2 linked regions of the Drosophila melanogaster genome follow. The protein of the gene in region 1 interacts with the protein of each later gene in a pairwise test. Each region holds a gene or a part of one and is shown on either strand. Other genes may lie near its edges.

Region 1 (3,921 bases):
GAAGCAGCCCACTGTCTCCGACAAAAAAAAATCACGCACACACAGAACCACACACGCATGCAAATAGCGAAAGAGAGCGAGGTGTCTGCGGCAGTGTGTGTGTGTGTTTCATTCATGAATCCAGATTTTGCCGAGGCAGGAGAACAGAAGAAGCAGAGTAAGCTGGTAACGAAGCAGAGGCAGCATTTCGGTTTGTCATTTGCAACAAGTGCGGAGAGGTTCTCTTGTACACATATTGTTGCTGCACTTATTGCATGCCCTTTTAGTTCTTTTTCGTTGCATTGTTTTATTTTTTCAATTTTTCTAAGCTTAGACAGAACGGCGGCAACGTCGACAGAAATAAGCTAAAGCTATATGGTATATATGCACCCACGGCCATAACAACGAGTAAAAAAAAAACCAAGATAGTTGGAAACCTCTGTGTTCGTCTGGCTCTATGTGTGTGTAAAAATATAAAAAATGCAGCAATGCATTCAACAGTTGATTCAAGAGAGAGCAAAAGGAAGAGAGAGAGCGGGCGGTTTGGTTGGCGAGAGAGCGGCGCTCAACAAGTTCGTTCGACGATCTGTTGCGCGGTTTCTACGGATGTGTGTGTGTATGCTGACGGGGGACGTGGGCACAGGGGTGTGGGTCAAAAGGGGTGGGGGGCTCTGGCCGATGTGGAAGGGGTATGGGGGAGGGCGGCGTGTGGAGTGGCAGTGCCAGAATGTCTGGCAGCCACGACTCTGGCGCACACACGCACACCATTCAAAGGTGCCTTTTGCACACGTGTGTGTGCGTGTGTGTATCTGTATGAGCAACTGGCAGAGCCAGCGAATTTGTAGCGCAGCCAGAAACAACAACACAACGCAACACGGCAACAGCAACCGCAGCCGCTAACAAACTGTGCTGCGACACAGTGGCACAAAAAGCTGCCAGCAAAGGGTTAAGTGTGGGCCTACTAATACATGTAAAAAACTAATTTTTGTAAACAGAATTTAAAAATGGTTTCCAAGTAGTGCGAACATTTGTCGACTTTGGGTTTATGTTTAAAACAATAATCTGTTGTTGGCAGATAGCTAACAATGTTTTAGAGATAGAAGAATTTGAAACGCGTTTCACTTATTGACTCGATGGCCTATAAATTGATAAAGGGTTTTTTAATTATTAAAGAAGAAGAAAATGTGTTATATTATCTCGCTGTTAAAAATGTTATCTTTTGATTTGTTCTATTCCATGTTTTTAGGTATCATATAATATTTTTTTTATTTTTTATATAAAAAAAAGCCATACGAATTGGTCCCACTGTGCGGTTCGCGGTGTTTGTCAGTTAGTCAGTCAGTCGGGTGACTGTGGCAATCGAAAAGAGTGGACAAAGACTGTGGCGCACAGGGACGGGGGAATGGGTTGCTCCGTCCCATGTTGTCCATTCGGTCCCACCGTGCACACAACTCAGCACAGCACGGCACAGCAGCAACAAAAGCGCCGCAAAAGGGAACTGGTATTATGGCATCCCGCTCGCACTTGCACTCCAAGCACGCACACATGCAAGCGCAGACACCTCGCGACACGATTGTCGTCAGTTTGTCTGCAATGCTCAGCTTCAGCGCCATGCGCTCTCTCTCTGTTGCTCGCTCTCTAGCTCCCCCTCTCACTCTCTCTCCCACTGCTGCACGCACACGAACACCCACACGAACAGCAGCAACAACAACAGCAGCGCACAGCAGACAGGCAGGCACTTTACGCCTGTGTGCGTGAGCATTTCAGAGTGAACCGCAGTCGACGGCGGCGCCGGCAGCGACGCCGGCCGAGGCGAGGCAGTCTAGAACGTATCTTCGAACTAGAACGCCGAGGGCAGAACAATTGTGTTTTGGATTCCTTGCCGTGCGGATCGCAAACGCGAGTTATGAGAAGAGCGTAGTAAAACGTACGAGAAGTAGCTAACAAGAAAAGGAAAAGAGCAGAAGAAGCAACAGCACGCAGACATATATTTTTTTTAACTGTGTTTTATTTATCCGATCTATACCAATCGAAATATACACAACTATATAGATTTGAAACGGATTTTGAAAAGTGCTTTCAAATAAACTCCAAAAAGTATCAGAGCGAGTGTGTGCCAGTGTGTGTATGTGAGACGCGTCGCAGTCGACGTCGCTGCTTTGGGGACAGAGCTGCCAGATCGCGAGTTATGAAAGCGCAAGCGTCGCACGCAAGTAGCAACAACAGCTACAACAAAAGCACCTAAAACTTACTACCTACTACTACTGCAAAACACACTTGTTTGACTATTATTTCGCTACATTAAAATCAACAAAAATACACACAAAACTGACCAGAATCTTGGGAAAATAAAAACAATCTTTAAAGAACGCCACGAAAATAAACCATAATCATGGATAGCAGCAGCGAACAGTTGAACGGATCGGGAGCTTTGAATTTCAAGCGGCCCAAGGATTCTTCGGAGAATGCCACAAACAGCCACACAAATAATGGCAATTCTTCGGGCAGCCCCAAAATGGGAAGTCGTCGGATTTTCACGCCCCACTTTAAGCTGCAAGTCCTCGAATCATACAGGAATGATAATGATTGCAAGGGCAATCAACGGGCCACGGCCAGGAAATACAACATTCACCGCCGGCAAATCCAAAAATGGTTGCAATGCGAGTCAAATTTGCGATCATCGGTGGCCAACAATCAGCAACAGCAGCAGCAGCAGCAACAGCAACAGCAGCAACAACAGCAGCAGCAGCAACTACTCCCACAGCAATCGGTATCGCCGACACCGGCGGTCAAGGTGTTCCATCAGCTGAGCCATCCGCTGGTGCACCAGTTGCATCACCATCACGCCGCCGCGGTGGGTCATCATCATCATCATGCCGCCCACCATCATGCCGCCCATCATCATCACGCTGCAGCAGCAGCGGCGGCAGCAGCAGCGGCAGCAGCAGCAGCAGCAGCCCACCATCATGCCGCCCACCATTTGCTGGCAGCCAATGGCATGGTTCCACACCCCCTGGCCGCCCATCCCCACTTGCATGTCCCGGTGGCAATGCATCCTCAAATGCAGCATCAGAAGGAGCAACAGCAGCAGCAGCAGCAGTTGCAGCAGGAGCAGCAGCAACAGGATCAGCAGCAGTCACAGCAGGAGACACCTGCAACCATTGCTACCAATGGCAGCAATCAGGGATCCTCGAATGTCCTTTCGGCGGCCAAAATAGCCGCTGTTGTTGCCGCCGCCATGGCCACCAGCAATGGCAATCCCACACCGACAGCAACAATCCCCGCCAGCAGCAGCAGCAGCAGCAACACATTGCCGAGCAGCAATAACAGTAGTTGCCACAACAGCAGCAGCAGCAGCAATAGCTGCAACAGCAACCAAGTGCCAATACAAGTGCCAATCCTGAGCGGATCCCCTGGGTCCACATCGTCAGCCAGTCACATTCCACATGTGCCCTTTGCCTACCATCACAATCTGCATGGCTATTTGGAGAATCGACTGGAGGCGGTTGCCACACCAGCCCCCATGGACCTCTCTCTCGGATCCTCTGCCCGCCGTCAAATGCAGTTGCACGAAAAGGATCCATCTGGTGTGGATCTCACTTTCCGCAAACGTAAGGTCATCACTAGTCCGATGCAGCCGGATAAGATTAGTAAGCTGGAGGAGGTGATCAAGAAGGAGCCCGAAACGGAAACGGAGAACGAGGATGTGGAGGTGGACGTGGAGACGGAGCAGCCGGAGGAGCACAAGCTGCCCTCTAAACAGGTCAAGCTATTTAAGCCCTATTTGCTGGACGATGATGAGGAGCAGGATCATCATCATCATCACCATCACCATCGGCAGGAGGATTTGGATGAGGGAGCTGCCGAGGAGGAGCAGGACGACGAGGAAGAGTCCCGCTATGCCGACGATGATGAGGTGGACTCCAAGGAGGCGGCCGACAA
Region 2 (3,921 bases), on another chromosome or scaffold:
CAAGGGGCAGCAGACACTTTGGGCTTGTTGCTGCTGCTGCTGTGATTGGAACACCTGTTGGTTGTTGAAGGGTCCCAGGCAGTGGCAACAAGGATGGGGGTGCGTCCTGCACTGGGAACACTGGTTGCACAAGGATTGGCACGAGCAACAGGGATAAAATCCTCCAGAAATCGGAATATTCGGCTGCTGCTGCAGCGCACAAGTGGAGGTTCCGAGAACTGGGTGCATCATGTGCTGGCTGATCTGACCACCTAATCCCATAGAAGGATGTGATTCCATGCTCGACAAAGGACAGCAGGATGTACCACCGTTGTAGCAGCCGTTTGCAAAACTCTCCGGCTTCAACATGCAGCAGTTGCTTCCGTTGGCTGGACATTGATACTGATTGCCCATCTGCATTGGGCAGACTTGACTCGTCCTCGACGGACAGCAATTGCTGCACGTGCAGCAGGAGCAGCTGGACATGCTGCTCGGCGTGGCGCACAGGAACTGCTGGCCAGGATACATGACAGGACAACCCGATGTTGCCGTCCCCGGCTGATTCATGTGCATAAAACTGATGGTCACATATGGCGAGTTGTTGGTCGGTTGAACTCGCACGTTCGGGTGTTGCTGCAGCGTCAAATGCTGCTGCATATGTTGCTGCTGCTGCTGCAGCACATTCTGCTGCATGTTCTGATGTTGCAGCAAGGACATTTGCTGTTGATGCTGCTCATTCAGCGACGGTTGTCGCTGTTGTTGCTGTTGCTCCCGATTTAATTTTAAAAGTTTTTGTCGGACCTGGGCTGCAGTTTGAAGGGATAACTTCCGAGCGGCTTGTACAGTGTTACCTGGGGAATAAAGAGGGAGGAAGGAACATAAATATAGAAGCAATCTAAAATGAATAATATAACCTTTCTGGTTGCTATTGCTGGTGGTTGGATACTGCGGAAAGGCTTTGTCCGTCTGGGATCCTGCATTAGAAATGGCGTAGGAACGCGAGGTCTGCTGCGTCTGACACTTGCCGGTTTGGTCTTCCTTCGACTGTTCTATGTCCTGTTGAATCCGATTCCTAGCCAAAGCATCCTCGAGAACCACGAACGAAGGTCTATTCGCCAGATCCTTGTTGCAGATCTTAACGAAAGGCGGCAAAGTTTCGGTTTTCTTGATCTCCTCTATGGACTTGTCATTCTTGCTCTTCTCCAGCTTTTCAGTTGAGTCATCATCGATGTCATTTGAATTCCCTTTGAGCACAGCTATGCACTCTTTCTTGGTTTCCTTAGTGCCATTCGTCAGTGGGGAGTTACTACTGTCTGCTCCGCTTTGGGGATTCTTGCATTCCTGATTAAGTGAGCTAATTTCGATGAGACCATCAGTGCCCACGGTAATCATGAAACAGCATTTGGCCACCGTTTCGTCATTTGATTTGGCCAATTGCCCTGATGATTCATTCTCGCCTGGGGCCTCCATTTTCCTGAATTTTGATGTGTTTTCCGGGTGTTGTGAGTTGATGTTTCCTAACGCATATCAAAAAGTATATCAGGCGACAAATGTACTGTCAACTTTGAAATGCTCATCGAAACTGGATTTCCCTTACTGTGTAAGTAGTGACCAAAACGTTCTTGGTGTTTAAGATTTTAGAACCATATTAATATTAATAAGATAAAATTATTTAAAAACTTGAAACAGTATTTATTTCTTAAAATAATTCAAATTATATACTAGAGAAGCAAGTCTGGTATCAATCAGTATGTCTCAGCTTTATGATGTCAAACATTTCTACACCTTTTGTGCTTTAACATGTACACAAAATTGTCATATCCGTGAGTTGGCCTCTCCGGGTGGTGAAGAGTTGAAGATGTTCTGCACGGAGAGCTGTGAGCACGGATGCAATGCAACCTCGTCGGGCAAGCTGATCGCCAATGGAAACGGTGGCGGCCTGCAGTCGCAGGGAAATTCACAGCATCAGTTCACCATGTCCTACGCTCCACTGTCGACCAACGATGTGCCCTCCAAGTCCGAGGTGGAACCACCGCGACTGGGCATGTGCCTGGTCACCGAGTGTCCAGAGGGTCTGAGGTAATTTATACATGAATTTCCATGAAAAGTGATTCGATTTCTACTCCCTTCCTCTCCAGCATTGACTGCAATGTGCCACTGCCGAATTCTTTCAATTTGGATGAATACAAAAATCACATGATCTGCTCGAGCTGTACCCAGTTCAATGGTGGCTTGGACAGATTTGGCCAGCCAGGTACAGCCGGTCCAAGTGCCAGTCCTAGTGCCAATCCATATCCAACTCCGATGCCCAATCCCATCCAGGCCTCTCCTTGCAGCTTTCATGGCCAGTGTTGTTCAGCCGGTGGACCATGCGCTGGATATGATTCGCAGCCAAATCCATCAAGATGCTATCGACAGGAATCATCGTTGGCTCAAGGAGCCCCAGCGATGCCGCAGATCTTTTGCCTGGCACCACCCAGTTCCCATGGTGGCTTAAATCAGCCCGTTTACTTGTGCAGCCTGATTCCAGTTCCGCCATCGTGGAACCTGGTGCCGCTGGCCCAACCGCAGCACTTGACGCATCAGCAGCTGCTGACGAATCCCGCACAGGACTCGCAGCTGCCGTTGCAGCAATTGGTGCAGTACGACCTGTCCTTCAATCGCCTGCTGGCCGAATTGCGCAAGGAACGGGAGAGGTCCTGTTGTGACCTGCAGATCCCCCAGCCTCTGGCTTTCCAGCTGTATGCGCCCACGGTTAGGTTTCTAGATCAGCCAGATTCCAGTTCGGCGAAGAGAGAGCCTCATTGCCCGCCGGCAGCTCCTTGTGCTCCTCCAGCTGCACCACCACAACCACCATCCTCGTCATCATCCCCAACAGCCACATCTGCCTCCGCCGCCGGGCTGCCAAGAGCTCGTTCGGCCAGCCCGAAGCGCAGTCGTTCGTGTCTCCGGAACAAGGATCTCTGGGACAGTGGCGGATCCGTACCAGGTCCATCCCCCTGCTCCTCGCCCACCCAACATGCGACCGGAAATGTGTGCATGAAGTGCGGAAACTGCTGGCATTGTCCGCGCTGCAACTGCTCCAACTGCTTCTGGCATCCCGGCTTGGTGCGAGCTCCTCCAAGAGATGGTCGCTAGGGAAGGGGACTAAGAGCCACTCCTACACTGTAAAAGAAGAAAGTGTAATAAAATTCCAAGACTTTTAAGCAAGCAGCTTGCCACTATTTCTTAATTGAATTCAATAATAAGAATATTTATTCTTGCAATATGAAGAGAGAGTCACTTTTAAGGTTTTTTTTTCGTTTATTAGTTTGTAATATTTAAACCCTATTTATAAATATTTTATGATACATAAAAAATGAATTCTTTCACAATTTCTACAGCAGCTAGGACTTATATCACAAGTAATGTTCGTTAAACAATGAACTGTAATTAAAAGTAATTATCGATCAGCCTGCATGTTCATAAAGCTAGCCACGTAGTTGGACATGACCGAGTTTATTCCGAAATGGTCGTTTCTGGGCTCAAGGGGTTGGGATTGCAAATTCCGGTGGCCGGGCAAGATCAGCGAAGCTGGCGGCAAGGGAGTTCTTATTTGGCAAGGATACGGATCCGTTCCCAGCTCAGAAATCCTTGTGCGACAACGCCTCACTTTCCGGGCAGAGGGACTAACTTGGGTGCAGGTCCTGCTGCTGGATTGGCAATACGGAGGTGGCGGAAGGAGAAATCTTTGCTGCAGCTCAACTGCCGTGGTATGCGACTCGGGTGCTTGGTAGTTCTGCTGCTCATGGTAGGCTTGGATGCGTTGTTGATACGCCACTGATTCCTGGTAGGCAGTTGAGTATATGTAGGATGGATCGTACAGGAAGGCCTGTTGCTGCATTATATAAGTCTCCGTGTTCATATGGGCATCTGGATGCACAAAGTGCTGTTGCTGCTGCT

Evidence for each region.
Region 2: the proteins of brk (region 1) and hale interact in a two-hybrid assay, tested with the Drosophila melanogaster proteins (2 studies listed by BioGRID).

Annotation. Positions count from the first base shown.
Region 1 is NC_004354.4:7,306,102-7,310,022, forward strand, and holds the start of brk (brinker), read left to right. Parts: upstream 1-1,837; 5' UTR 1,838-2,371; coding exon 2,372-3,921.
Region 2 is NT_037436.4:19,983,692-19,987,612, reverse strand, and holds hale (hale-bopp), read left to right. Parts: upstream 1-1,744; 5' UTR 1,745-1,837; coding exon 1,838-2,058; intron 2,059-2,117; coding exon 2,118-3,117; 3' UTR 3,118-3,187; downstream 3,188-3,921. Other genes in the region: schuy (schumacher-levy), read right to left, coding at 1-830, 894-1,449; CG17732 (uncharacterized protein), read right to left, coding at 3,422-3,921.